7 linked regions of the Callithrix jacchus genome follow. The protein of the gene in region 7 purifies or fractionates together with the protein of the main gene of each other region. This does not show direct contact. Links are inferred from orthologs where the notes say so. Each region holds a gene or a part of one and is shown on either strand. Other genes may lie near its edges.

Region 1 (3,855 bases), on a different chromosome or scaffold from region 7:
CGTTCCAGGGGCTTTGGTTTTGTGACTTATTCTTGTGTTGAAGAGGTGGATGCAGCAATGTGTGCTCGACCACACAAGGTTGATGGGCGTGTAGTGGAACCAAAGAGAGCTGTTTCTAGAGAGGTATTTTAATAATATGTTGTAAAATATGTGAAATTGTTGTGAAAGTTTATGTCTTGACTTAATACATGACTTGATTTGTAGGATTCTGTAAAGCCTGGTGCCCATCTAACAGTGAAGAAAATTTTTGTTGGTGGTATTAAAGAAGATACGGAAGAGTATAATTTGAGAGACTACTTTGAAAAGTATGGCAAGATTGAAACCATAGAAGTTATGGAAGACAGGCAGAGTGGAAAAAAGAGAGGATTTGCTTTTGTAACTTTCGATGATCATGATACAGTTGATAAAATTGTTGGTAAGTAGCAATTTATGGGAACTTAAATGAGAAAAAAGTGGTTTCTCTGTTTTGAACTAAATTTGCCAAATTGCTTGTAATTTTCTGTTGCATGTAACAGCCTTTATAGTGTATGGTCAATAACTCTGTAATCAGTATCCAGGTAAAGGAATAAACATTAACATCTCAGAATGCTCCTTCATTCCCAGAGTCACTACCTGATTATGTCTTAATGGGTTACATAATGACAGAGGGTATCATATATATGCGCTTTTCCAAACACAAAATAACTTTTTGTTTTGTTTGATTAAAAAAAAAATGTAGTTCAGAAATACCACACTATTAATGGGCATAATTGTGAAGTGAAAAAGGCCCTTTCTAAACAAGAGATGCAGTCTGCTGGATCACAGAGAGGTGAGTAGTATCATACACATGTACACAAAAGATTTTAGTGGTGGCTGTAAGATTCTTAAAATCTCCCTTGCCTATGTTAAAGGTCGTGGAGGTGGATCTGGCAATTTTATGGGTCGCGGAGGAAACTTTGGAGGTGGTGGAGGTAATTTTGGCCGTGGTGGAAACTTTGGTGGAAGAGGTAGGATGTTTATCTTCTAAGTACATATGTACCTAACGTTTTGGTAAGTTAAATATATGATTTTAATTCATATCTTGTTTTTCCTCAGGAGGTTATGGTGGTGGAGGTGGTGGCAGCAGAGGTAGTTATGGAGGAGGTGATGGTGGATATAATGGATTTGGTGATGGTAGGTGGTTTATTTTAATAACTTTCTTTACCTTATGGAAAATTAAGTATTCTACCTTTCTAATTTTAATTAAAACTTGAATGACTTAATGGTTAAGACGTATTTCCAAACTAATGCCATAGAAGAGTAGAGACTCTTTTTCCCCTGGAGATTTAACATTAACTGGTCTTTTTCAGAGAGTACTAGGAGTTGAGCTAGAATTGAAGTCTGGGGCTGTATTTTTCTTAGTGCAGATTGATAAAATGAAAACTGAAGCATTTATTTTCATTCTTACTAGCTCTAGATACTTGCTATTCTATTATTTTTTGGTATTACCAGGTTTCAGAGTGTTAACTCATTGGCTTATTTGCCAGTGGCTTAAATGTAATATAAAACCAGAATTGAGTAATGCTAGCTATTCAGGAGGCTGGAGCAGAAGGATCACTTGAGGTGAGGATTTTGAGACCAGTCTGAGCAACATCAGGAGACCATGTTGCTAGAAAAAATAGGGGAATTTGGTGGCACATGCCCATAGTATAGCTACTCGGGCGGCTGACGTGGGAGAGTGGCATGAGCCCAGGAGTTCAAGGCTGCATTGTTGTGGTCATGCCACTATACTCGAGACTGGGCAACAGACCAAGATCTGGTTTCTTAAACATACAATCACCAGAATTGAGTAACTTCACTCTTTACACATTTATGTTTTTGTGTGCTCTTATTTTTTGTTGTTTTTTTTTTAGGTGGCAACTATGGCGGTGGTCCTGGTTATAGTAGTAGAGGGGGTTATGGTGGTGGTGGACCAGGATATGGAAACCAAGGTGGTGGATATGGTGGCGGTGGTGGAGGATATGATGGTTACAACGAAGGAGGAAATTTTGGTGGTGGTAAGCATTCACTTTTTTCATTTAAATGTGAACTATTCAGTGTTGCTAACAGTTCCCATGACATATATTTGACAAGTGTTAAAAGTTAGCAGTTGGTAAAATTGTGTGTTCTGTAATATTAGAAAATAATAAAATGGTGGGTAATTCAAATTTTCTTGACTTTGCTGATTGTTTACTAAAATACACTCAACTCTTAGTTGAGAAGTTAAAAGTGGTCATTTGCCAGTATGTAATAATACATGTAAAAGATAGGGAGTTTATATATTGCCAGAATTTTACCTTGACTCTTAGGTACTTTTAAACTGAACTTTTAAGTACTTTTAAATGGACAAATGGGAGTAAATTGTTTGAATACTGAGACAAGTTGAAGTGAGCAGGTTGCCATCTAGGTGTAAGAGAAAAAGTACTTTGTGTCAATACGTCACAGGTATGTTGCAGGCTTTAATGTAGGTCATTACTCCAGGATACTGTTAAGATCCTTACGAGTGTCCTGTTTTGTTGGACCTAATTAACATGTCAGTGACAGATGAGCGAAGGTTTAACAAGTTAGAATGCCTTCACATTGTTTTAAATGTTATACTGCAGCAGCATCATAGTGAGTGGAACACTGACAATTTCAATGGTGTTAATGGTAGAAAGAACATGTGCCTAGAGAATACCATCTAATACAAACAAAATGTTGATGGTCTTTCAATATGCTGACATCAGTTATTCCAAGTGGTGCTACCAAAGTGATGTGTGTAAGCATGCTACCATAATTGTGAAACAATAATAGTTACATCAAAAGGGGAAAATGATTATTGTGTGGGTAAACCACACATAAACCCTTTCTGATTTCAGGTAACTATGGTGGTGGTGGGAACTATAATGATTTTGGAAATTATAGTGGACAACAGCAATCAAATTATGGACCCATGAAAGGGGGCAGTTTTGGTGGAAGAAGCTCGGGCAGTCCCTATGGTGGTAAGTACTTCTTAAATCATTCTTTAAGAGTCTTTAATTTAAAAAAAATGCATACTTCTTTTAAGATATTATGTATATTTTTAGTGGTTATGGATCTATTATATATATTTTTAGGTGGTTATGGATCTGGTGGTGGAAGTGGTGGATATGGTAGCAGAAGGTTCTAAAAGCAGCAGAAAAGGGTAGGTATCTTTAAATTTTTGTCATGATGATAAAGAATATGTGGAACTGTTCACTGAGTGTAATAATTTTTTTATCCTGTATTATTCAACAGGCTACAGTTCTTAGCAGGAGAGAGAGCGAGGAGTTGTCAGGAAAGCTGCAGGTTACTTTGAGACAGTCGTCCCAAATGCATTAGAGGAACTGTAAAAATCTGCCACAGAAGGAGCGATGATCCATAGTCAGAAAAGTTACTGCAGCTTAAACAGGAAACCCTTCTTGTTCAGGACTGTCATAGCCACAGTTTGCAAAAAGTGCAGCTATTGATTAATGCAATGTAGTGTCAATTAGATGTACATTCCTGAGGTCTTTTATCTGTTGTAGCTTTGTCTTTTTCTTTTTCTTTTCATTACATCAGGTATATTGCCCTGTAAATTGTGGTAGTGGTACCAGGAATAAAAAATTAAGGAATTTTTAACTTTTCAATATTTGTGTAGTTCAGTTTTTCTACATTTTAGTACAGAAACTTTAACAAAATGCAGTTTTGAAGGTGTTTCCTTGTGAGTTAACAAGTAAAGAAGATCATTGTTAATTACTATTTTGTATGAATTTTGCTAAAGTTAACTGTAAAGAAACACCTGCTGACTTGCAGTTTAAGGGGAATCTATTCTCCCCATTTCCAAACCATAATATGAATGGGCACTGACATGTGGAGAGA
Region 2 (3,855 bases), on a different chromosome or scaffold from region 7:
AGGGTAAGCATTAAGTCAAGGGCTGGCCAGGCATGGTGGCTCATGCCTGTAATCCCAGGACTTTGTAAAAACAAAAACAAACAAACAAAAAAACACCAAGTGCTGTCATCATTAGCATTGATAGAATTTTGTTTTTTTGAGACAGGGTCTCACTCTATTGCCCGGGCTGGAGTATAATGGCCCAAACATGGCTCACTGCAGCCTTGAACTCCCAGGCTCAAGCAATCCTCCTACATCAGCCTCCAGAGCAGCTAGAACTGCAGGCACAAGACATCATATCTGGCTAATGTTTTTTGTTTGTTTGGTAGAAATGGAGGTCTCCTTATGTTGCCCAGGCTGGTCTCAAACTCTTAAGACTCAACGGATCCTTCTCCCTCCTTGGCCTCCCAAAGTGCTGGAATTACAGGCGCTTGCCACCAAATCCAGCCCATTTACAGGATTATGTGGCCCCCCGACAATAGCCCAGGGAAGGCTGTGTACTGGGACTGGCCCATGGAGTGGGTACGAGAAGTGATACAACTTTCTTGAAGTATGAAATAGGAACAGAGCTGTACACACAAGGACATGAATTGTATCTAATCAGTACATTTAGAATTTGGTAAACAGATGCATCTTAAATGCCTAACAAAAGGGGAATGGCTAGTTTTTGAGGCCATTAAGAATGATGTTCATTCCTTGAAGGATTTTTAAAAAAGAAAAAAATGATGTTCAAAGAGAGGTTTTCATGCGACGGGAAAAAGCTCGCAAAATAATGTGAAGTGAAAAGGGCAGGGTATCATAACACTCATACCATAAAATCTCAATGATGAAAGTTTGTGAGCATGAAACAGGCACTTAGCACATTAAAAAGAACAGATGACCTCCGAACCTCTGCAAGCAAACTTATTTGTAGATGATGGCATTAGGAGAATTAAATTTTTTTTTTTACTTCTTAATTTTCTAGAACAAGTGTAAATAACTTACACATACAAGAAAAATATTGTTTTAAGAAAAAAGACACGAGCATAGCTCTGAGAATCAAAGAGTCCCAAAGGCCGTTTATCTTTTATGACAGCTCTGGGTGAGAGGTGGAACTTACTCAGCCTCCTTCAAGTACACTCGGAGGGCCAGGCTCAGTGGCTAAAAAAGTTAGCCAGGCATGGTGGCATGTACCTGTGGTCCCAGCTACTCGAGAAGCTGAGGTGGGAGGATCACTTGAGCCTGGGAGGTCAAGGCTGCAGTAAGCCATGATCGCACCACTGCACTCCAGCCTGGGTGACAGAGCGAGACCCTGTCTCTAAAGAAAAAAAAGAACACTTGGTGGCAGAGTGCACTCCCCAAGAAGCACCTAGTGTCCTTTTCTGCTGGAAGAAAAGCCTCCTTTTCCCATATTCTGGCCTCACTTAAGAAGATGGAATGTTTCTGAGATTTAGGTGTACTAACTTAGCCTCTCTGACTTCAACCTAGGTCACACCAACACCCCTCACTTCACACTCAGAGCAACTTTTCAGCTCTGAGTGTAACTCTGAGGAGCTGAGACAAAGTGGCCACTTGCCCCAAGGCTACTCACGCAGCAAGTCTATGTGTGTCTCCCCTCTGTCTTGGCAGCAAGGTGGCCACCAATACATTCTGGCTCCACTCACCTCACATTCTGCCTTGCTCTTTGGTCCAACGGTGCCCCGAATCCGCTCACTAAGGGGAAGGTGCTGGATGAAGGTAAACCCTGGGAGGACAGAACAGTAGGGCTCTGCCCTCTGTCCGAAGTTGAACTCCACTGCGCAATTCTTCACCAGGACATGAGGATAGAGGGCCTGACCCCCCAAGGCTTCCTTTTGGATTCGGAAGGCAATGCCCATCCACTTTCCATTCTTGGTAAAGGAAAGTTCCACGTCATTTCCACATTCAAAGTCCTAGGAGAAAAAGCCAAAGGAATATGATTGCCAACTCTCGCTGTAGGCACTGGGAGTCACATGTGGGTGAGAACAGATGCAGGGAGTAGAATATGGACAGCTTTCCAGATTTAATTGCATCCTTCCCCAGCATACAGGTAAACTGGGCAGCATCAGTGAACATCTCAGAGAACGTCCAGCCCAAAGCCCTCCTTGCCTAAGACCCCAAAATTGGTGAATGTGAAGCAGGTAAGCAAGAGATTTTTTTTTTTTGACACAGGGTCTCACTCTGTCCCCCAGGCTGAGTACAGTGACATGGCTAGGGCTCACTCCAACCATAAACTCCCAGGTTCAAGCAATCTTCAGACCTCAGTCTCCTGAGTAACTGGGACTACAGGCATGTTCCACAACACCTGGCTAATTTTTAAATTTTTTTTGTATAGACAGGGTCTTGTTATGTTGCCCAGGCTGATACTGAACTCCTGGACTCATGTGATCTTCCCACCTTGTCCTACCAAAATGTTGGAATTACAGGCTCCAGCTACTGCACCCAGCTTGAAGCAGGTAATTTTAAGAAGCTCCAAGCATTTGAGTCTTGTGCCTAGACTGAGATGAAGACGAAGGAAAAGGTGATCCTGTCCTGTCCTGAAAACTGATGAGAAGCAGGGTGTAGTGGCTAACGCCTATAATCTCATCACTTTGAGAGGCTGAGGCAGAAGGATCACTTGAGGCCAGGAGTTCAAGTACAGCCTGGGTAACAGAGAGAGGCCCCATCTCTTCAAAAACAAACAAAAGAAACCCCAAAGGGCATTCTATGAACATAACAGATGAGGGAAAGCCCCAGCAGGGCCTTTTCGAGCTGAGCTCAGCTTGTTGAACATGTTTCCTGAGTTCTTTCTTTCTGATATACATGCCTGGGTGATCTGGGACCAATGGAGCTTAAGGACCAGTGGAGAATGAGACAAGGACACTGTCATAATTCAGTAAGATGATCTACCTAGAAGCAAGTTTCTGAGATGGTTTCTCAGTTGTGTGTATAAAAGCCTAGCAGTGACGCAGAACATAAGGTCAGGTTGGCAGGGGCATAACAGATGAGGGGCAAGTAATTCAGGAACAGCTGAAAAGCCATGCAAGGACCACATTCATTTATTCTGTAACAACTACTACTGAATTGCTAAAGTGAGTAATTAAAGATCCTATTTTAGAAGGTGGATGGACAGCTTCAGTTCTACCATTTACTAACTTGTGGCCTTGGTTAAGTTATTTCACCTTGTTTCTTTATCAAAAGAGGTGGGTAATACTATTTTATACTGCCTATGTTTATTCTAAGTGCTAAATGGGATAGTACATTTAATACACAGTGAGTACACAGGAACATGAGCTATCACTGCAAGATGCCAGGTACTGTGCTAGAAGTTAGAAGCTAGGACTGAAGTGATGGGGAGGGGACATGGCCTACCTCAGCATTTGAGGGACTCTGCAGGAATGTGGACTTGATGCTGGTGGCAGAGCAGAGTGTCTGACTCATTTTGAATAGGGGAGCAGACTGCTCAAAACTGTATTTTGGAAACATCGCTTTGTCTGCAGGATATGTAAAGCTCTTTTTTGCTTAGTGTTTTTTTCCTTTTTAAAATTTATATTTTTAAAACGTTTGTTAAATATTTTTCTAAATACCTATCTCAGAGACAAAAAGGCTCAAAACTTGAGATTAGATAGCAGACTGAAGCAAAATACAAGGTTCAGTTTCTGATATAAAAGTGTAAGTTCTTTATTCAGGAGACCACCTTGAGAATTGCCCTTTAAGAAGTGACTGAAGCCAGGCGCAGTGGCTCAAGGCTGTAATCCCAGCACTTTGGGAGGCCGAGGCAGGTGGATCACGAGGTCAAGAGGTCAAGACCATCCTGGTCAACATTGTGAAAACCCGTCTCTACTAAAAATACAAAAAATTAGCTGGGCATGGTGGCACGTGCCTGTAATCCCAGCTACT
Region 3 (4,434 bases), on a different chromosome or scaffold from region 7:
GCTGCCCAGGCTGGAGAGCAGTGGCAAGAGCTCACTGTAACCTCCACCTTCTGGGTTCAAGCAATTCTTTTGCCTAAGCCTCCCAAGTAACTGAGACTATAGGTGTGAACTACCACACATGGCTAATTTTTGTATTTTTAATAGAGACGGGGTTTTACCATGTTGGTCAGGCTGGTCTTGAACTTCTGACCTCAGATGATCTGCCTGCCTCAGCCTCCCAAAGTGCTGGGAGGCAGTGCACCCAGCCTGACATTTTAAATTTGGGTAAGTATTTCTATACCCAATTGCTCAAGAAACAGCATACTAAAAACCCTGAGTTAACATTATTAAAATTTTTCTTTTTTCTTTGTGTTTTTTTTGAGACAGAGTCTTGCTCTGTTACCCAGGATGGAGTGCAATGGCATGATCTCAGGTCACTAACCTCCACCTTCCAGGTTCAAGCAATTCTCCTGCCTCAGCCTCCAGAGTAGCTGGGACTATAGGTGCCTGGCTAATTTGTTTTTTTTTTCTTTTGTTTCGCAATGGAGTTTCACTCTTGTTGCCCAGGCTGGAGTACAATGGTGCAATCTCGGCTCACTTCAACCTCGGCCTCCCAGGTTCAAGCGATTCTCCTGCCTCAGCCTCTGGAGTAGCTGGGATTACAGGCACCCACCACCAAGCCTGGCTAATTTTTTGTGTTTTTAATAGAGACCAGGTTTCACCATGTTGGCCAGGCTGGTCTCAAACTTCTTACCTTGGCTGATACACCCACTTCAGCCTCCCAAAGTGCTGGGATTACAGGTGTGAGCTACTGCACCAGGCCCTAAAATTTTTCTAGACATGTAAATTAACATCTTGCATACTGACCAAATTTGATGGACTTTGTTGCAATATCAAGTTATAATAAAAGCAACACAGATCAACTAATAGCACACATTCATACTGCTGAAATTAGCTATTTCCTTGGCACATTTTTAAAATATCATGCTTTCTTTTCTCAGATTTAGAACATCAGTGATAAAATGAAGCAAAAAGGGTAAGACTAGAACCTCAAAATTGTAATTGGAACTGCACTAATTCAAGATTTGGCTACTGCAACTGCTGTTTATTTAAGGAAAAAAATGAAGTCAGGTTTCCTGAATGAATGATGTTAAGACCAAAAGGACAATGAACAAACTCAAAATTGTAATTGGAACTGCACTAATTCAAGATTTGGCTACTGCAACTGCTGTTTATTTAAGGAAAAAAATGAAGTCAGATTTCCTGAATGAATGATGTTAAGACCAAAAGGACAATGAACAAACCCAAATACTGGAGCACTGTAGAAGAATCTACTTACAACACTGATACAAGTCCCAAGCATTCTTAGTAACTCCTTACGTGGCAGAAACTGGGCAAAGCTTATTAAAATATTTTTTAAATACATCGTTCTCTCTTTTAAAATGATATATGATCCCCAGTTTCCACAAATTTAGACTCATGGTTTTCCAAACTTATCTAATTGTGAAGTTCAAGAAAATACTTAAGTTACAGGAGACCTGCCGCCACAAAGAGGCCATGACCCATGGATGAGACACACACCTGACTACGCTTCAGCACGATTACAAAACCAAATGGTAACAAACCTTTGGGATAGTTGACAACATACACCAGATTTCCCCAGCCAGCATCGGGGGCATGCAGAATTCCTTCCACCAGCCGGACACCTCTCATACATTGAGACACTGGATTCCTGTAGCGAAGCCCACAGGCCCCTGGAAACTGGGCTGTAACCGTGGACAGCAGCACGGTCCCATCATCTTCCGATGGTATTTCAATGGGTTCATCGTTCTCATCTTCGGTTACCCGAATATATTCAGACATCTTTTACTTTTCTTAAAAGGAAAAGAGAAATGAATGAACATTCACGCCAGAGTAATGGTTTCCTTCTAATGCTAATACCTACACCACGTTAGTGTTCTAACTTCCAGAAAAATTCTTCTCTGGATTCGTATATGCACTAGTATCCCTGAAAAATGACGAGGGGAAGGTAAGGGTAGTGATTTCCTATCAAAATCTGATGCCTCGCCAGTTCATTCAATCAACAAACTTTCCCTGAGGGCTTATGATATGTCAGGTATTGCAACTGTAACTGCTGAGTACAACGTGGTTTGCTGGTTACAAGCTGGGGTATGCAGGAGAATAACAGTAGCTATTTTATGACAGTCGCGGAAGTCGTTATGTAATCCTGAAGTCAGGAGAGGAGCCTAACAGGCTGAGGCATGGGCATGATGGGTTAAGGTCGATTTTCCCAATTAAGTGATGCATCAGCTGAACCTGAAGACTGAATATAAGCAGTGAACCAGGTGTAAAAAACAGCAGAAGAGTCCTCTCCATTCCTCATTTTGGGGCTTTCCGGGGGCTCTACAAGCCCGAGCCGCAAGGCCGGCGGCGACAGATCCTGGCGGTGCCGGCCTTCGCCTCCCAGAAACCCGCGCGTGCCAGCCTTGGGAGGAGTTTCTTAGCGCGGCCCGGGGTGGGGCGCAGGAGCACCAAGGCCCGAGCTGGCAGCGTCCCCGGACTGCAAAGTACCGAAGGCGCCGGCACTATTCAGGACCAGGCAAACCTTCGCCTCAGGCTGCGCGGCAGCGCGGGCAGGGTCCCGCTTTCGGCGCCTGCGGCCTTCCTGCGGCAGGACCTAACGACGCTCCCGAGCGAGTCCGCTCGGGCAGGACGAGGCCCGGCCTCACGGCTCATTTCCCTGGGCAGGGGCCGAAGCCGCTGCGTCCGCCTCGGGCTGCCCCAATGCGGGAGCCGAGACACCCAGGGCGTCCTCATTGAGAAGGCTCCGCGACTCACCCGCTAGGCCGCTGCTGGGAAGCCCGACAGGGACAGCGAGGCAGCGACGAACCAAAGCGCAGCCCAGCGACCGCTTCGCTCCCACAAAATGGCGCTAGAGCCGCCTCCTCCCTCTGCCCGCCGGCGTCCTCTCCCACCGAGCGCTTGTCAAGAGGGGGAGGGCGCCGAGGAGAGCCACGATGACCCTCTTCCCAGGGACTCGGGCTGCCTTCTCGAAATTCGAGCCTACAGAGAAGCTCGAGAGCTAAAATAAGACCAGGAACTAGGCCTGAAAAGCTGAAAATCGAAAAAAAATGTGGCTGTGTAGGCGCTGACCTCCCCCCACATAACGTAGCAGATGGTTTCGGCCGACCAACCGCCAGCCCGGGTCTCGTTCGGAGCTCGCGCACTTTCAAAGCGCGCGAGAGTAGCGCAGGGGCTCGGCCAAAAAGGGTGGGGCGGGGCCTGGAGGGGGCGGGGCTCGGGATCCCGGGCCAAATAGACTTGGGAAGCAGGGTAAGACCCGGACTCCTTTTCTGAAAGGCTGCCGGTTGCGTCCTCTCCTCCCTCCGCTAGCCCACCTCCAAACCTGGAAACAATAACTTTGTTCTAATAATAGCAATCAAAGCGCTACTTTGTGTCACGTATCTTCTGAGTACTCACATACTTAATAGCCCCAACAGTTTTGTGCGGCAGGAACTATTGATATTCATTCTGCGAGTGAGGAAACTGAGGCACAGAGCGATCAAGTATCTTGCTTAAAGTCACCCAAGGATAGGGTGATAGTAGCGTGCGCCTGTAATCCCAGCTACTCGGGAAGCTGAGACAGGAGAATTGCTTGAACCAGGTAGGCAGAGGTTGCGGTGAGCCAATATCGCCCCACTTGACTCCGATCTGGGCAAAAGAGTGAGACCCTGTCCCCCCGCCAAAAAAAAAGTTGGCCAGGCTCAGTGGCTGCTGCCTGTAATCCCAGCATTTTGGTAGGCCGAGGCGGGCGGATCACAAGGTCAAGAGATCAAGACCTCCTGGCCAATATGGTAAAATCTCATCTCTTAAAACAAAACAAAACAAAAGTCACCTAAGGAGTAAATGGTAGACCTACGGTTTGAATCTCGAGGCACAAAATGCTAACATGTTCTGGCTCCAGCCCTCTAATAATAATATAATAATACAGTATTTCATCTATTTTAAGGCACACTTGATTGATTGATTGAGATGGAGTCTCACTAGAGCGATCTGCAGCTCACTGCAACCTCCACCTCCCAGGTTGGAAGGATAGCTGGGATTATAGGAATGCAAAGACACCATGCCTGGCTTTGTTTTGTTTGTTCGTTTTGAGACTCTGTTGTCTGGGCTGCAGTGCAGCTGTTAAGTATGTGAGTACTCAGAAGATACGTGACACAAAGTAGCGCTTTGTTATCTCGGCTCACTGCAAACTTTGCCTCCTGGGTTCCTGTGATTCTCCAGCCTCAGCCTCCCAAGTAGCTGAGATACGTCCAGCTAATTTTTGTATTTTTGGTAGACACAGTGTTTCACCATGTTGGCCAGGATGGTCTCAAACTCCTGACCTTGTGATTTGCCCACCTTGGCCTCCCAAAGTGCTGGGATTACAGGCATGAACCACTGTGCCGAGCCTAA
Region 4 (3,855 bases), on a different chromosome or scaffold from region 7:
CAGTTCTGTTGGTTGTTGGTCTGACGACGCTTGGAATCAGGCTGGTTGTACCCATCTGCCTTTCTCTTGCCTCCTACATTGCCCCCACGATTGCCCCGAGATCCACGGGAACCACGGCCTCTCTGCTGTTGTGCAGGACCCCCTCTGCCACCCCTAGAGCCTCTTGGTGGTCCCAAAGGTGCCCCCCTCTGTGAATAGCCAGCTCTACCTCTTGGAGGTGGTGCTCCCCTCCCCCTTGGTGGTGGTGGAGCACCTCGCCCTCCCCTTCCTCCTCCTCTTCCTCTTACTGCATAGCCATCATCATAGCCGTAGTAGGGATCTTCATAGCCTCCACGATAGTCGTGATAATCATAACCATAGTAATCATCATAGTAATCTTCATAGCCATAGTAATCTGGAGGGTAGCCATATCCACCTCTCCCCCCACCACGACCCCGACCTCTAATTGGAGGTGGCATTCGAGGAGGAGGGTGGTAGTAATAATCTTCATACCTAGCAAAGGAGGGAAGGGAGAGAAGAAAAAACAAATTAGTTTGCTTCAAGACCCCTGATTTTATTAATCTGATCTCCATTATTGTTATTCCTTATCCAAAGAGATAAATACTAAAATGTAGACTCACGCAGTGCTTCTGGAGGCCTGTCTAGCAGCTTGACGCTCTTTCCTTTTCTTGTCTGGTGGCTTGGCTAAGACTATTTCAATTTCTTCCCCTTCTATTTCTTTGCCATTCATTTCATCCATTGCCTATATAAAATTAGAAAAATTAATTTACTTTACAATGTTTTATAATAAAACATAACATACACATGTCATTAATATACTTAATAAACAATTTACTTCACAATTATTTTAAATGGCAAAAGGTAAATCTAGCCAGAAAGGTAAACGCGCACACGCGCACACACACACAGAAAAAACGTTTCCCTTGACCTAATCTTTTTATATGTAAATTACATCAAGAACAAAACCAACCTCCTGATATTATATTTTAAAAGGTAAAATAGTTGCCATCTATTGTTTCTCCTTAATTCCAAATAACCAACTCCTTAAAAGATAAGCCATACTAAAGAAAGAAGCAAATCCATACCAGGGAAAAACGCCAGTATTAATGCAAACCAGACAAAGATTAACTTTTCAGGATTAATTTAAAAATAAACGTGTGGCATTCAACATACAGGTCTTACACTGTTCTTATATAAAAATTTCAAGGATCTGAAGCACAAATGAGGTTACTGAGTGAGATTATCTTTAAAATTCAACGAGATACCAACACAAAAAGCCCAAGTTCCCCTACAATGCTTAACCCAAAATGTACTCTGCCTGAACAGTTAAAAGTAGAGAGCCAGAAAAGGCCTGGACTAATGAAGTAATGAAGACTCAAGCAATTACGCAGAAAGCAGTAATCAAACATTCCACGTTCTTGCCCTTTGTTCATGCTGTTCCACCTAACAACCTCTGCCATTCATCAAAAGGTTCAGATAGTAAGAAAATGTCACCTCCTCGTAATTTATTTTTTGTTTCCCTCTACCTTTCCCCACTCTGGGCGCACATACTAAAAATGTTCTATTTATAAAGAACTATCAGTGATTTATAAGTATCTAGAAAAAAAACTGAAGACTTCAATTTTCCCTTTTACCACCTCAGCTTTACATTTCTTCCGTTAAAGCAACTCAACAACTTTACAAAAGCTTCCTGGCATAAATCAAAAAATGAAACATCTATTGTCTGCCCTGACCATCCTAGTGACTTCCCAGTTCCTGGACTAGATATTTTGTAATTTCATAGGCTTCTTTGGCAAACCATCCTAAAACAATCGAGACAGGAGGAATATTTGGAAAGCATAAATTATCAGTCATCTGCATTCTATACCAGTGGAAATTTCAGAAGCCACACATTAACAGTTAAGAGTGTAACAGTATAACAGGTAAGACTCCATATTTCAAAGCCAGGTTATTACTGAGTTTATGATCTTGGACAAGTTATGAATTTTATTAACAATACCATTCATTAATTAGCTACCATAAATGAGCAAGCCAATTAATTCTAAACTAGTCAGAGATTCTATAAAGCCTGTTTAAAATGCAGTAGCCTGGGCAAAAAACAAAACAAAAAAAATGCCCAAATTAGAGGTGCAGTACCCTGTCGACCAAATATGCAGAGAAAGAACCAAGCCTGTGTCACTGAGCATTCTGGATCTATCTTCCTAATAACATAAAAAAGATCTTAGTAATGTTTTGTCTTCCTTCCCATCCCTTCAAGGAAGGACAGATGAACAAGAAAAAGAAACTGAAATTTTCACCCATTAAAGATGGATCTAAACTGCGGAGCACAGTGGCTCAAGCCTGTAATCCCAGCATTTTGGGAGGCTTAGGTGGGCAGATCATGAGGTCAGGAGTTCAAGACCAGCCTGACCAACACAGTGAAACCCTGTCTCTACTAAAAATCCAAAAATTAGCTGGGCATGGTGGCATGTGCCTGTAATTCCAGCTACTCAGAAGGCTAAAGCAGGAGAATCACTTGAACCCGGTAGGCAGAGGTTGCAGTGAGCCAAGATCATGCCATTGCACTCCAGCCTGGGTGATAGAGCAAGACTCCACAAAAAAAAAAAAAAAAAAAAAAAAAAATATGGTCCATTGTCAATAGAAAGCAGAGCAGGTTTTGTGTTCCAGATAGTATATGAAAATACATTTTTCACACTTCATTGTCATCAAAGACTATTATACACAAGAGCTAACTCTAACAATTACTGAAATCAGTAAAACATAGCCAATGTTATTTTAACTCTAAAATAATTAAAGTAAAACTAATCATACCATCACAATGTATCTACCCAATCAAACACTGTATACTGTGAGAGTTATGTGCACCATTCAGTTTCCTTCATAGGTACACAAACTGAGGTAAACTAAGTAGTTATAATACATTCACTACCTATTTAGTGTTTACAGCAGCTAATTTTTATGCCTTGTAATACTTCCAAGGCATCATGCTATCAAATCTTACAAAACAATACAGAGATTAAAAATAGCTTGCCTAAAATCACCAACTCAGTAATAATCTGGCTTTGAAATATGAAGTCTTATCTGTCATAATACTACCACTTTAGAGATTAAATAGAAAGTTCCAGAGTTCAGCAAAAGCTAACAACCAATTTTATTTGTTTTTAAAGTTATTTTATGTGTTTAGCAACTTTTGAAAACAAAATTCAAATATCAAGAACCAAAATTCCAAAATTTCTACCTTAACGGCTGCTCCTCTGTCTTCAAAATGAACAAATGCATAATCTTTCAACTTCTTCACTCTTTCAAGTTTTCCAAATTCAGAAAATGACTTTTCCAATATTTCTTCTGTGACTGTAGTAGCCAAATTTCTCACAAACAAAACTTTTACCTAGTAAGCAACAAATAAACGGAACTGTAATTGGCTACTTAATTCTACCTGAAAAGTGTTTCTTCCTGTCTTCAAAGCATAGGCTTTTCCCCTCTAAAACATTAAGTGCTAAAAGTGCTGTTACAGGTAGTATAAGAAACTGCTAGGAAAATTATACTAATAGCAGTCATCAATTTATAAAAACTATTGGTTACTGCCTTCTCCTATGTTGTCATTAAAGCACCTAACACTGAGTAGAACCTTCAAGAAACCAACATATAATTATTATTTCAAGTTAATTAACAAATTTGACATGGTCCCCAAGTCCACTTCAAAATAAGCTTTTCTTTCTTCCCTCTAAAACCAAGTAACTTTTAAAAGTTCATATGAAAAAATAAATAAGCAAGAATAACCAGGGGGAAAAAAAAGTAAAATTTAGAGACTGGCCCTACTGAATATAAACAAACATAATCCTTAAATCACTAAAT
Region 5 (3,855 bases), on a different chromosome or scaffold from region 7:
AAGAGTAAGTGCAGAGTTTTAAGTTGTGGGAGTTTTTGGCAGGGGCCTCAGGTGTTCAAAATCTGTTTGATCTCCTTTATTTCTAAAGCTCTGTATTCTAAATTCTCATTCTGGACTTTTTGCTGTTTTAAGAAATTGCTGTTCCCTCCCTACCCTGGATTTAACTTTGGTCATCTAATGGAAATGTGAGTTATATTTTTTGTTTATTCTGTTCTTTCAGTTTTAACTATGCTGACCAATGAAACTGGCTTTGAAATCAGTTCTTCTGATGCTACAGTGAAGATTCTCATTACAACAGTGCCACCCAATCTTCGAAAACTGGACCCAGAACTCCATTGTTAGTTCTTTTTTTTCTGTTGCTGGAAAATTTAGGGGATATTAAAAACATGGTATGGTTGCTGTTTAGTTTACTTAGCTTGTTGCTATTCCACATGCAGCTCTCTGGGAATTGAAGAACTCAAGTTTACTCTAAACTTTGCTCTCTCCCTCTGTAATTTGGAAATAGTTTTTTATCCAAATTTGCTAGTGGAATATTCAGATGGGGTGATCAAGAAAATAGTTGGAGGATTTAAAAAGGACTGAGAAGCCAGGCACAGTGGCTCACGCCTGTAATCCCAGCACTTTGGGAGGCCCAGGCGGATGGAACCACGAGGTCAAGAGATCGAGACCATCCTGGTCAACATGGTGAAACCCCGTCTCTACTAAAAATACAAAAAATTAGCTGGGCATGGTGGCGCGTGCCTGTAATCACACCCGCCTGGGCCTCCCAAAGTGCTGGGATTACAGGCATGAGCCACTGTGCCTGGCTTCTCAGTCCTTTTTACATCCTCCAACTATTTTACTCAGAAGGCTGAGGCAGGAGAATTGCCTGAACCCAGGAGGCGGAGGTTGCGGTGAGCTGAGAGATGGTTCCATTGCACTCCAGCCTGGGTAACGAGCGAAACTCCATCTCAAAAAAAAAAAAAGGACTGAGAAAATATTTATGGAGGAGGAGGATAGGCTTTTGGAGAAAATCATGTATCTTGCATGGTTCTAGTGATTTTTAGGCATGTGATTTGCTGATATGAGGAACATGGGATGACTTAAAGAACTGAAAAGTTGGCTGTGTGCAGTGGTTTACGCTTGTAATCCCAGTGCTCTGGGAGGCTGAGCTGGGTGGATCACCTGAGGTCAGGAGTTCGAGAGCAGCCAGTCCAACATGGTGAAATCCCGTCTCTACTAAAATAAAAAAAAATTTAGCTGGCATGATGGTGGGTGCCTGTAATTCCAGCTACTCAGGAAGCTGAGGCAGGAGAATCGTTTGAACCCAGAAGGCGGAGGTTGCAGTGAGCGGAGATTGCGACACTGTACTCCAGCCTGGATGACGAGACTACATCCCAAAAAAATGACAAGAATTGCAGAGTTATCCTGTCCTCCTTCCAAGTTTTTAGACTGTAGCAGTAGTACTGAGTAGCTTATTTAATGAAAATGTTTCATCCTGGCCTATCATGCTTGTCTTATAGTGGATATCAAGGTATTGCAGAGTGCCTTAGCAGCCATCCGACATGCCCGCTGGTTTGAGGAAAATGCTTCTCAGTCCACGTGAGTCTCTCCCTGACCATTTGGATTAAGATAACCTTTCTAACAGCAGTGAATAGCAGGATACCCCAGACTGTTTTGTTTGGATTTTGATTTTTACCTTAAGTAAGCAAATTAAGATTGAGAGAAAGCAGAGAATGTATAGTTCTGGAAACAGTGTAGTCAGCTTCAACTCTACATTAGGCATGGAAATACATGATCGTATTGCTTTTAACCTTTGGGTCACTCTTAACTTTCAGAGTTAAAGTTCTCATCAGACTACTGAAAGACTTGAGGATTCGTTTTCCTGGCTTTGAGCCCCTAACACCCTGGATCCTTGACCTACTAGTAAGTAAAGATGGGCAACTGGAGTTCCTTGATAATCTATATTTACTAGCAGTAGAAGTAACTCTGGAATTTACCAGAATCTGAAATTTGGTAAAGCTTAAAATAGATTTTTTTTTTTTTTAATTTTAATTTTTTGAGGTGGAGTTTCGCTCATTACCCAGGCTGGAGTACAATGGTGCAATCTCGGCTCACTGCAACCTCCGCCTCCTGGGTTCAGGCAATTCTCCTGCCTCAGCCTTCTGAGTAGCTGGGATTACAGGCACGTGCCACCATGCCCAGCTAATTTTTTTTTTTTTTTTTTTTTGTATTTTTAGTAGAGATGGGGTTTCACCACGTTGACCAGGATGGTTTCGATATCTTGACCTTGTGATCCATCCGCCTCGGCCTCCCAAAGTGCTGGGATTACAGGTGTGAATCACCGCGCCCGGCTAAAATAAATTTTATTGGTAGACAAGTAATCCAATAAAAATTCAAAATTATATGACTCAGAGAAACTTGTTTTTTAAAAAGAAAGAAAAAGTTCAAAGTTTATTTTTTTGTTATATTCAATTAAATGAGTAGTTACTGAGTTAGTGTTCTTTTTCTTCTCATGACTGCTACCATTTCACCATGGTAGTAGAGAGAAATGAGTGAGCAGCCATTTCAGAATTGCTTCTGAACATGAAAATTTTAGCTAGACTTAGGCATTAATGACCAGTTTTCCTTGTGACAATTTAAGGTTTTAGTTTGATGCCTGTAATCCCACCACTTTGGGAGGCTGACGCCAGAGAATCACTTGAAACAAGGAGTTTGAGACCAGCCTGGGCAAAATAGCGAGACTCCGTCTCTATAAGAAAAAAAAAAGATAAGCCAGTTGTAGTGGCTTGCACTCAGCAGGCTGAGGTGGGAGGATTGCTTGAGCCCAGGAGTTTGAGGTTACAGTGAGCTATGATTGTGCCACTGCACTCCAGCCTGGGGGACAAAGTGAGGCCCTATCTTTAAAAAATAAAGTTCTAGTTGCCAGAATTGCCATTTTGGTGGCACACCTACTGGATTTATTATTTTCCAGGGTCATTATGCTGTGATGAACAACCCCACCAGACAGCCTTTGGCCCTAAACGTTGCATACAGGTACAGCATGCTGCTGTGGGTTTAGGGTTGGTTGTAAGATGTTTTGTGTATTCCTTTAATACCTCATACCTCCTTGTGTTCTAGGCGCTGCTTGCAGATTCTGGCTGCGGGACTGTTCCTGCCAGGTTCAGTGGGTATCACTGACCCCTGTGAGAGTGGCAACTTCAGAGTACACACAGTCATGACCCTAGAACAGCAGGTATTGGGACAGATGAACTGGGTTGTTTTGCCTCACTCTTTAATACTCCTGGTCAGAGGCAAAGTGGAATATGATCTTTAGGGGTCAGGAGTTTGGGAATTCCGAAAGACGATGGGATTTTAAAAATTGTCTTAATCTTTATTTCACAAGGATATTAGTCAAATAAGGCCCTTGGATTTTCCTTGCTAACTTACTCTCACTTTTGCTCTACTTTAGGACATGGTCTGCTATACAGCTCAGACTCTCGTCCGAATCCTCTCACATGGTGGCTTTAGGAAGATCCTTGGCCAGGAGGGTGATGCCAGCTGTGAGTGACCATTGTGGGTCAGGGATTTTGTATTATAATCTGCTCTACAAAGAAGCTGTACACTACTTAAATGCCTTAGTATTTCCACAGTGTAAATAATGACTTTTATGCTGGGCTACTTGTCTAACTCACCTTTTTCTCTTTTCTAGATCTTGCTTCTGAAATATCTACCTGGGATGGAGTGATAGTAACACCTTCCGAAAAGGCTTATGAGAAGCCACCAGAGAAGAAGGAAGGAGAGGAAGAAGAGGAGAATACAGAAGAACCACCTCAAGGAGAGGAAGAAGAAAGCATGGAAACTCAGGAGTGACCTTCCCTTCCCTTGACTGGAGCC
Region 6 (4,355 bases), on a different chromosome or scaffold from region 7:
TATGGAACAGTTTCAACATTTCCATGCTGCTCAGGTTTAACAAAAGCAGTATTCAGAGCCGGATGCGGTGGCTCACACCTGTAATCCCATCACTTTGGGAGGCTGAGGCAGGTGGATCATGACGTCAAGTGTTAGAGACCAGCCTGGCCAGCATGGCAAAACCCTATCTTTACTAAAGATACCAAAAAAAAAAAAAAAATTAGCCAGGTATGGTAGCACACGCCTGTAATCCCAGCTACTCAGGAGGGTGGGCTCAACGAGAATCACCTCAACCAGGAAGGCAGAAGTTGCAGTGAGCAGAAACCACGCCGCTGCACTCCAGCCTGGGTGACACAGCGAGACTTCGTCTCAAAAAGGAAAAAAAACAACATTCAGAAAGTAGAGGAAAAGATGACTCGCTGAGAGAGACTCACTGTTCTGGGTCTGGCCGTAAGAAGAACCATAGCTGCCCTGGCCATAGCCTGAAGTATCTGTGGACTGGCCGTAACCGCTGTAACTCTGCTGTCCATAGGGCTGACTGCTCTGCTGGGAATAGCCCTGTCCCGGCTGGGTGGGGTAGGCCCCATAGCTGGAAAAAAGTAAAACCAGCGTGATCAGAAAAAGAGGCCTTGACCACCGTCGGCCTCTACAAACTTTGGAAACGCAAAAATAGCACTCACCTTTGGGTTGCTTGTTGAGTATAATCTGCAAAAGAAAAATACAATCACATTATCTTCAGCCAACACTCTGAAAGAGTTGAATTAAAGCTAAATTCCTTAACTCAAGCACTGATGGGTAAACAGGACCACGTTGGCCAGGCAAGGTTGTTCACACCTGTAATTCCAGCACTTTAGGAGGCCGAGGTGGGTAGATCACTTGAGGTGAGGAGTTCAAGACCAGCCTAACCAACATGGTGAAATCCGTAAAAATACAAAAAATTAGCCAAGCATGGTGGCGGACGTCTGTAATCCCAGACTGAGGAAGCTGAAGCAGGAGACGCATATGAACCTGGGAGGCAGAGGTTGCAGGGAGCTGAGATCACGCCATTGCACTCCAGCCTGGGCAACAGGGCGAGACTCTCTCAAAAGAAAAAAATTGGACCATGTTGCAAAAAAGGTCATACAATTCCCCCATGAGACAAGAGCAAGCTGGCATATCAGCCAAGTGTTCTCATAATAAAAGAAAACAGAAGAAAATGCAAGTTTCTACAGAGTCCCAAAAGCCTTAACCATTGGGAAAACCAAGGTCTCGGTGGACAGCCACTTTCTGCAAGCCCAATTCATGTCAGTGACTGTTGCCCTAAAACACTGCACAGTACTTCCATCCATTCTATAAAAAAGGCCTTATCCCCAGGAGTCAAAATAGACTAACTTGCCCGAAGTCGCAGAACTACCAACCGGCACAGGTTTGAATTCAAGCAGTGTTCAGACTGTGGCCTCCGTTCTCTCAACCCAGACCCACAGAACGAGAATGTCTCAAAAAAGGCCATTCTTCATTGTGACCAACCCCGGAGATTAAGTGGGCTTTTTAGTGAAGTCACAGGATCCAAAGCCCTCGGAATCAAAAAGATCATCCAAGTGCTCGCTTTAGGAGGCGAAAGTCGACTGATACTCGATTCCCCAGTCCTGTCGCTCCAGATGGTTCGTTTTCTCACCTAACCTGCCTTCCCGCTCCGGGGGACCAAAAAGCAGCAAAAGCGGTTCTGAAACGCCCCACTGAAGATACACGAACAAGATCAACTCATCCACCTAGTACGGGAAACGCGGCGCTTCCCCCGCAGGAAAAGGGAAAGGCCCAGGAGAGGGAGTGGCCTCCGATGGAGATTATTCTCCTTCCCCACCTCAGAAGCAAGAAATTTAGGCCGGACGCGGTGGCTCACGGCTGTAATCTCAGCACTTTGGGAGGTCGAGGAGGGCGGATCACCTGAGGTCAGGCGTTCGAAATCAGCCTGATCAACATGGTGAAACCCCGTCTCCACACACACACACACACACAAAATTCAAAAATTAGCCAGACGCCTGCCAGCTACTCAGGAAGCTGAGGCAGAAGAATCACTTGAACCCAGGAGGAGGTTGCAGTGTGAACCGAGATCGTACCACTGCACTCCAGCCTGGGCAAGAGAGAGACCCTGTCTAAAAAAAAAAATTAGGCGGGAAAAACTCTCCAGCCGGGTCACCGATACAATACGTTGGTCCCGACCACCACCTCCAAACCGTTAAGCGGGAGCGCGGCCGCGATCCCGAGCCTCCGCCCCCGCCGCGTGGCAACCGAGGCGGGAACGGAGCAGTCCCGCCCCTTCCCGAAGGACCCCAGAGGAACAAGGCGTACACCGGACGCGCGCCGCCGAGTCCTCCGCGAAGGGTCTCGCGACAAAAAGCTGAGCCAACACGAGACGGGGAAGGGGTATCAGCGCCACGAGGGGGGGAGGGGCCCGCAGAGCGCGTGCGCGCCGCTAGTGCCCGGATGCAGCACTGCGACAAAGCGGGCCCGAGCGCGGGCCGGGAGTGGGGGTAGGCGAGGCCACGGAGACCAGGCGTTTCCACCCTCACCTCACGCTTCAAACCACCAAGAAGCGTCCCTCCCCACGCCCACCTCAAACAAACGGACTGGGAAGAGAAGACTTCCCGCCCAGCGCGCTAGGCGCCAGAGGAGCGAAACAAAATGGCGACACCAACCTCCCCCAGTCACCCCTCTCCGCGGCTTCCCGCCACAGGGATGCGAGAGAATCCCACACGCGATCGCCGCCCCGGTCCCACAGAAAATGAAAAGCCCAACTAGGAGGACTCGGCTCGGAGCGCCGCCGCCGCCGCCTCGCGCCCTTACCTACCGTTTGATGCCATGTCCGCGCACGCGCGCACAGGCAAGCAAGCAAGGAAATTCCAACTCTACACAACACCGACGCCTCGAGGACTGAGCAGCCCCGCCTCCTGCGTCGAAGCTTAAGTCTGCCCTGCCGCCTACGCACCGCGCAGGCGCACACCAAATGCGGAAGCGCATGGGGGAGGCAGGAATGCACTCCCCCCACTTCCTAGGGTACGTAGAGGATCCGAGCAGGTAGAAGGGAAATAAGTTAACTAAAAACATGTGAATACTATACATAATCATACTTTCTGGAGAAAGAACCTCTCTCTCCTCTACAGGATTAGCCCATGCTCTAAGTCCACCCCCATGAAGGCACAGTGGTACGGCCTGAGTGCCCGCTGGGGGCGGGGCGAGGGGCCCGGACAGTTAGGGATCGAACTGGAGTCACAGTCGGGAGTCGCGGGGTGGAATCGTGACTACTGTGGCCGGTCCCCTTTGCTGGGCCCCGCTTTCACCCAGGATGACGAGTTCCTGCCCTCCGCCGCCTTGCCACTGTGTGGGGCGCCTCGTCCTCCCGACCCCAGCCTCCCTCCTCCAGCAGCACACACTGAGCCTCCCTCTCCCTTGGGCCCTGGTGTTGACTTAGTCGTCTTTCGGGGTTGCCTGGCCTTTCGGCCTTTCTGGGGTTGGCGCATTGTGACGTTTGACCTGAAAGACAGCAGGTCATTTTGGCCTGGACCCCTGGGTGCCGGGCTGGTCCAGCACTGGGCTCGCGGGAGCCGCCGGGCGGGACCGCCCAGGCCATCTTTGGGACCTGAGAGGGTTGACCTCAGATGAAGGATCCGCAGCCTTTTCTCAGGGACCTCCTTTATATTTTTCTGAAACCCTACCAAGGAACCAGTGGCGATCCCAGAAATAAAATGTGCACAAGGCTTAGGTGGTTTCAAAATGCACAGATAATTTATTTCTCACCACAGACTTAGGAAGGAAGTAACGATATCTCCGTTTTCTGGATAAGAAAAGTGAGATTCAAAGACCCAAGTAATTGTACCTGATTACAGGGCAGCTAAGAGGAGTCGTGATTCGAATTCAGGTCTCGTGACTGCAAAACACTCCTCTTTTTGGTGACCTGAATGCTAGTGTTTGGTCGCCCTTTCACTTCCTGTGAAAGCAAAAGCAAAAAGAAAACTTCAAAGTAACGTGCAACTTGAACTTTCATCAGCATTGCCTGGAGAAGGCAATTTGAAACTTGAACAAAACAAGACAAAGGACGTTAATTCCTTTTTTTTTTTTCTGAGACGAGTCTTGCTCTGTTGCCAGGCGCCAGGCTGGAGTACAGTGGTGCAATCTCGGCTTGCTGCAATCTCTGCCACCTGGGTTCAAGCAATTCTCCTGCCTCAGCCTCCCTAGTAGCTGATACTACAGGCACGCGCCACCACGCCCAGCTAATTTTTGTATTTTTTAGTAGAGACGGGGTTTCACCATGTTGGCCAGGATGGTCTCAATCTCTTGACCTCATGATCCGCTCGCCTCGGCCTCCCAAAGTGCCAGTGGGATTACAGGCGTGAGCTGCG
Region 7 (4,629 bases):
CTCAGAATACTATCAAGTCTGTACTTTGTGACTTTATGGCAAACATACTTCGTTGTGAGTTGTTTTGGTCTGGTGCATTTGTCAGTTTTACTTTACCAGCAGCGACATTACGGTTTCTCATTCAAATCCAAATTGCAGGCCCAATACTAACCTGAAAGGGAATCAGTGTTACCAAGCTAAAATGCTCCAAGCTGCACAGCTGCAGCCAAACCCAGTGTTGCCCCCTGCAAGGTGGCTTCCAGTGTACTTGGTTCTTGTTTTACAGGTCGTTTTCCATTACCAACGCTAAATTCAGATAGTAAGTCAACACTACAAACGTCTTACCAAAAGCTGTCAATTTCATCCAAATAGAATTTCATCAGTCTAAACTAATTTCTTTTCCCCAGTCTAATGCTGCGAACAAGAACATTCTGATAGAAAATACTCAGGAAAACTGTGTACTGGAAAAAAATTTACACAGGCAAGAAAACTTCCCTGGGCTTCAGCGTCTTCAACTGTATAGAGAGCCATATCAAGAACTAGACTAGCAAACACATCTCAATTACCAAATCTTGATTAGGAAAACCGAAATTAAGACGTGACACTTTAACTTTCCGAAGCAGAATGCTCATTTTCAAGGAAACACCGAAACTGTAAACAAGAGGTTACACTTCAAGATATTCCAAAACATTACAATTTGTCTAATCACTCGGGAGATTTTTCTCAAGATTCAAGAAGAAATCCCATCTATGCCAATTTATCCTTTCCAAAAGATACCCAGACAGGGAGCAGTGGCTCACGCCTGTAATCCCAAGCACTTCTGGGAGGCCGAGGCAGCCGATCATTTCAGGTCAGGAGTTCGAGACCGGCCTGTCCAATATGGTGAAACCCCCGTCTCTACTAAAAATACAAAAAGATGGCCGGGCGTGGTGGTTCACGCCTGTAATCCACGCACTTTGGAGGCCAAGGCGGGCGGATCACCTGAGATCGGGAATTCAAGACCAGCCCAACCAACATGTTGAAACCCCGTCTTAAAAAAGAAAAAGAGTACAGTAAGTTAGCCAGGCATAGTGACACACGCCTGTAATCCCACCTATTCCGGAGCCTGCGGCAAGGAGAATCGCTTCAACCCGAATCGCAGTGAGCCGAAAACGGAAAAAAAAAGAAGAGCTGGTGTTCAAAGGCAGGTAAAGAAAACAAGTCTACCAGATCGGCAGCACTCCAAGAAACAGGAAGGCGGCGGGGCTTTCGAAATTTCCATTGCGTAACAGCGGTCGGCGGGGCGCGAACAGCACAGCGGGAACTGCAGTCATCCGCGCCACGCCAGGGGGCGCCCCGAGTCCCGCCCGGCCCGCCCCAGCCCGGCTGCCCGCCAGCCCGCCCGCCAGCCCGCCCGCCCAGGCCTCGAACTCGAACTCCCGCGTTCTAGTGGTAACTCACCAGAAAAAAACCTCTGCACTTCATCGGCCGAGCAAGACCAGGGCAACCCCCGGACCTTCACCACGAATCCCTCTCCACCTTCGGTGCCCAACATCATTGTCTCTTACGCGGTCCGACGTCGAAACAAACTGCAAGGCGGGGAGGAGGACCAGACCTGAGAGCGCCCATTAAGCTGTGCTCCGCCCCCGATGTACCCCCCCGGGCCCGCGCCACCCGCCCTACGGAGCAAAAACCGGGCGGATGCACCCACCCCGGCGACTCCAACACCCAACACTTCCTCGGCCAGCGAGCGGACCCCCAAAGCTGCTCTGGGGAGCAGCTGTCGGCGCTCCGAACCCTGGGGGCGGGGGTCGAGAGCCAGCGTGGAGACAAGGAAATGGCGGCGGCCGCTTCCGCTCCGCCTCCTCCGACTTCTCACACAATAGAGTCCGCGCGGCCTGCAGGCCTCGGCGGCGGTGCTGGGATTCAGCGAACAACTTTCGGTTCTCGATGGCTGCCCGCAGCTAGCCAAGATCCCCGCAGCCCTCCCAGAGGTCGGGAGGAAAACAATCCTAGCAAAAACGGACCCCACAGCGGGGGTCGCTGGACAGCTAGGGAGGACCGACCGCAACTCACCCTGACACCCAACTCCAGCGTGGGTAAGACGAAATGGCCAACAGGCGCTTGCGCAACCTAAATAAGGCCCTTTGTGCGAGCTCTGCGCACGCGCAGCCAGCTGCTCGCCCCGCCCCCTTGCGTCACAAAGAGCTCTGACGCATGCGTAACTTCAAGAATCAGCCTACCTCCGGTTGGTAGATTATTACACGCCTGCGTTTTGGACTCAGCACCCCCACCCATTAACCCGCCGGGCTTTTTATTGCGCCTGCGCTTGATCGCGAATATTGAACTTGGAGCCTCAGCGGTTTATAATTGTTTCTTGCGCATGCGTCTTCCTTGAAACCGTTCTCTAGCGTTACCCGCCAACGTGGGGGAGGGGAATGGCGCCGCCAGTTCCCTATGGGGCTGTATAGGAGTCCCGACCTCTGGGTTGTGATGAGGTGGGCGTCTTTCTACCCCTTACCCCCAGTCTTACCGGGGCGCTCCTGGCCGACCTGAAAGGAGGAGCGCGGCCTTCGGGTGTTCCCACTCCCCGCGCCGCCTGTCTCCCCTTTATCCCAAAGCTGGCCGGAGCTGATCAGCTGCAGATTGCCGAGCGTCTTGGGAACTATAGGGCTGCGGACGTCCAGCACCCGAAGCCTCCCGGATGGTGCCTGGGGCACGCCCCAGCCGTGTGTGCCTCCACTTCCCCTTACCTGCCGTCGTCGGGCCTAGGGCGCTGGTCGGCGCGGGGTTCCCGTGCCTGTGGCTCGCGCCTGTACCCCGCTTTTGCCTAACGAACTTGCATCCTTTGTACCTCTTGACCCACCTCCGGGTCGGCGGGCCTGGAACGCCCTGGGGCCCTGGCACGAGGACGGGTCGCCGGGTACTGCCTCGCGAGCGCGATCTCCTCTACGGGTGCGTGCCGGCCTCTGTGCTGGGATAGGCTCCGGCTGAATCATCCCAGCGCTGAATTGGTAACAGTGCGTGATTCCCCAGGTGGAGACCCTGCATTCGAGGCCCCTGGGTCACCCGGTGTGCACATAGGCTGCGAGATGAGTAATGTTCGTGGTTTCTAGCAGCACTGCCCAAAACCGAAGACTCCAGAGCTTCCCAGGCCTCCCTCTGTCTAATCTGGCTGCCCTCTTCACCCCAGCTCTCGTGGACACAGGCAATAAATTAACCATAAGGTAGTGTTGGACCCTGCCGCAGGGCTAACTCAGGTAGTGCAGGCCTGAGTGCCACCCTCGGAAGATTCGGGCAAAGCATGTTTCCAAACCCAGTGCCACAGAGGCCGAATCCAGTTTTGACAGGTTTGAGGAAAGTAGAGAGGACATCCAAAGAAACACAGGAGCCCAGAGCTAAGGAGGGCCTGATCTTCAAAGGCCACTTCGGCCTTGGCAAGGGTGTTAACTGCAAGTCCTGTATAAAGGAAAAGTCTTGCTGGATGTGAGGGAGACGCAAATAGAGAGCAGGCAGAGGGAATGATGGTACATGCCATGCACTCTGCTGCAAACAGAACTAGAAGCACATACCTGTGGTACCATTTCAGAAGGCACTGTGGCTGAGGTCATCAGAAAGAGAGACTCCCACCAGGTGCAGTGGCTCAGACCCGTAATCCCAGCACTTTGGGAGGCTGAGGCAGGTGAATCACTTGAGGTCAGGAGTTGGAGACCATCCCGGCCAACATGGTGAAACCCTACCTCTACTAAAGATAACAAAAATCAGCCAGGTGTGGTGGCATGTGCCTGTAATCCCAGCTACTCAGGAGGGCTAGGCAGGAGAATTGCCTGAACCCAGGAAGCAGAGGAAGCGGTGAGCAGAGATCACACCACTGCCCTCCAGCCTGGGCAACAAAGCAAGACTCCAACTCAAAGAAAACAAAACAAAAATTAGCCAGGCATGGTGGCGCTTGCATGTAATCCCAGCTACTTTGGAGGCTGAGGCAGGAGAATTGCTTAAACCCAGGAGGCAGAGGTTGCAGAGAGCTGAGGTCACGCCATTGCACTCCAGCCTGGGCAACAAGAATGAAACTCCATCTCAAAAAAAAAAAAAATACTAGTGAGGTAGAATAAATTTCATACATTTATAGCCAATTCTCTTTTACATAAATTGTCCAACTTACGTAAAAAAGGTTTTTTAATTTTTATTTTTATTTTCCTTTTTTTTTTTTTCTGAGACATGGCCTCACTCCGTCACCCAGACTGGAGTGCAGTAGTGCAAACATGGCTCACCACAACCTCTACCTCCTGGGTTCAAATGATCCTCCTGCCCCAACCTCCTGAGTAGGTAGACCACAGGCATGTGCCACCTTGCTCAGATAACTTTTTTATTTTTTTGTAGCAATGGCATCTTACATTGTTGCCCAGGCTGGTCTTGAACTCTTGGGCTCAAGGAATCATCCCACCTCAGCCTCCCAAAGAAACGTACTAGGATTACAGGTGAGAGCCACCATGTTTGGTCATGAAAGAAGGTTTTTTTGTTTGGTTTTGTTTTTGAGACAGTCTCACTCCGTCATCACCCAGGCTGGAGTGCAGTGGTGCAATCTTGCCTCACTGCAACCTCTGCCTCCCAGGTTCAACCAATTCTCGCGCCTCAGCCTCCCAAGTAGAAGTATTACACGTTTGCCACCAC

The links.
Region 1: the proteins of HNRNPH1 (region 7) and HNRNPA3 fractionate together in Homo sapiens (co-fractionation; 3 studies listed by BioGRID and IntAct, with this or other methods). This does not show direct contact. The link is inferred for Callithrix jacchus from reciprocal best matches to the Homo sapiens genes HNRNPH1 and HNRNPA3.
Region 2: the proteins of HNRNPH1 (region 7) and HNRNPUL1 fractionate together in Homo sapiens (co-fractionation; 3 studies listed by BioGRID and IntAct, with this or other methods). This does not show direct contact. The link is inferred for Callithrix jacchus from reciprocal best matches to the Homo sapiens genes HNRNPH1 and HNRNPUL1.
Region 3: the proteins of HNRNPH1 (region 7) and TARDBP purify together in Homo sapiens (affinity purification with western blotting; 3 studies listed by BioGRID and IntAct, with this or other methods). This does not show direct contact. The link is inferred for Callithrix jacchus from reciprocal best matches to the Homo sapiens genes HNRNPH1 and TARDBP.
Region 4: the proteins of HNRNPH1 (region 7) and HNRNPR fractionate together in Homo sapiens (co-fractionation; 3 studies listed by BioGRID and IntAct, with this or other methods). This does not show direct contact. The link is inferred for Callithrix jacchus from reciprocal best matches to the Homo sapiens genes HNRNPH1 and HNRNPR.
Region 5: the proteins of HNRNPH1 (region 7) and ILF2 fractionate together in Homo sapiens (co-fractionation; 3 studies listed by BioGRID and IntAct, with this or other methods). This does not show direct contact. The link is inferred for Callithrix jacchus from reciprocal best matches to the Homo sapiens genes HNRNPH1 and ILF2.
Region 6: the proteins of HNRNPH1 (region 7) and FUS purify together in Homo sapiens (affinity purification with mass spectrometry; 4 studies listed by BioGRID and IntAct, with this or other methods). This does not show direct contact. The link is inferred for Callithrix jacchus from reciprocal best matches to the Homo sapiens genes HNRNPH1 and FUS.

What each region holds. Positions count from the first base shown.
Region 1 is NC_133507.1:52,156,548-52,160,402, reverse strand, and holds part of HNRNPA3 (heterogeneous nuclear ribonucleoprotein A3), read left to right. Parts: coding exon 1-123; intron 124-204; coding exon 205-415; intron 416-718; coding exon 719-808; intron 809-890; coding exon 891-986; intron 987-1,074; coding exon 1,075-1,152; intron 1,153-1,871; coding exon 1,872-2,015; intron 2,016-2,855; coding exon 2,856-2,978; intron 2,979-3,092; coding exon 3,093-3,145; 3' UTR 3,146-3,160; intron 3,161-3,252; exon of another isoform or gene 3,253-3,855. UniProt on the Homo sapiens protein: Plays a role in cytoplasmic trafficking of RNA. Binds to the cis-acting response element, A2RE. May be involved in pre-mRNA splicing.
Region 2 is NC_133523.1:36,572,479-36,576,333, reverse strand, and holds part of HNRNPUL1 (heterogeneous nuclear ribonucleoprotein U-like protein 1), read right to left. Parts: intron 1,890-3,855; coding exon 1,623-1,889; intron 1-1,622.
Region 3 is NC_133508.1:48,886,161-48,890,594, reverse strand, and holds the start of TARDBP (TAR DNA-binding protein 43), read right to left. Parts: upstream 2,903-4,434; 5' UTR 2,818-2,902; intron 1,854-2,817; 5' UTR 1,843-1,853; coding exon 1,605-1,842; intron 1-1,604. UniProt on the Homo sapiens protein: RNA-binding protein that is involved in various steps of RNA biogenesis and processing.
Region 4 is NC_133508.1:60,068,058-60,071,912, forward strand, and holds part of HNRNPR (heterogeneous nuclear ribonucleoprotein R), read right to left. Parts: intron 3,389-3,855; coding exon 3,239-3,388; intron 743-3,238; coding exon 621-742; intron 493-620; coding exon 1-492. UniProt on the Homo sapiens protein: Component of ribonucleosomes, which are complexes of at least 20 other different heterogeneous nuclear ribonucleoproteins (hnRNP). hnRNP play an important role in processing of precursor mRNA in the nucleus.
Region 5 is NC_133519.1:14,084,373-14,088,227, reverse strand, and holds part of ILF2 (interleukin enhancer-binding factor 2), read left to right. Parts: intron 1-220; coding exon 221-337; intron 338-1,502; coding exon 1,503-1,581; intron 1,582-1,817; coding exon 1,818-1,905; intron 1,906-2,953; coding exon 2,954-3,015; intron 3,016-3,099; coding exon 3,100-3,214; intron 3,215-3,430; coding exon 3,431-3,521; intron 3,522-3,670; coding exon 3,671-3,831; 3' UTR 3,832-3,855. UniProt on the Homo sapiens protein: Chromatin-interacting protein that forms a stable heterodimer with interleukin enhancer-binding factor 3/ILF3 and plays a role in several biological processes including transcription, innate immunity or cell growth.
Region 6 is NC_133513.1:30,693,621-30,697,975, reverse strand, and holds the start of FUS (RNA-binding protein FUS), read right to left. Parts: upstream 2,892-4,355; 5' UTR 2,820-2,891; coding exon 2,807-2,819; intron 685-2,806; coding exon 660-684; intron 569-659; coding exon 414-568; intron 1-413. UniProt on the Homo sapiens protein: DNA/RNA-binding protein that plays a role in various cellular processes such as transcription regulation, RNA splicing, RNA transport, DNA repair and damage response. Binds to ssRNA containing the consensus sequence 5'-AGGUAA-3'.
Region 7 is NC_133503.1:72,027,398-72,032,026, reverse strand, and holds the start of HNRNPH1 (heterogeneous nuclear ribonucleoprotein H), read right to left. Parts: upstream 2,912-4,629; 5' UTR 2,825-2,911; exon of another isoform or gene 2,712-2,824; intron 2,074-2,711; exon of another isoform or gene 1,670-2,073; intron 1,548-1,669; 5' UTR 1,517-1,547; coding exon 1,420-1,516; intron 1-1,419. UniProt on the Homo sapiens protein: This protein is a component of the heterogeneous nuclear ribonucleoprotein (hnRNP) complexes which provide the substrate for the processing events that pre-mRNAs undergo before becoming functional, translatable mRNAs in the cytoplasm.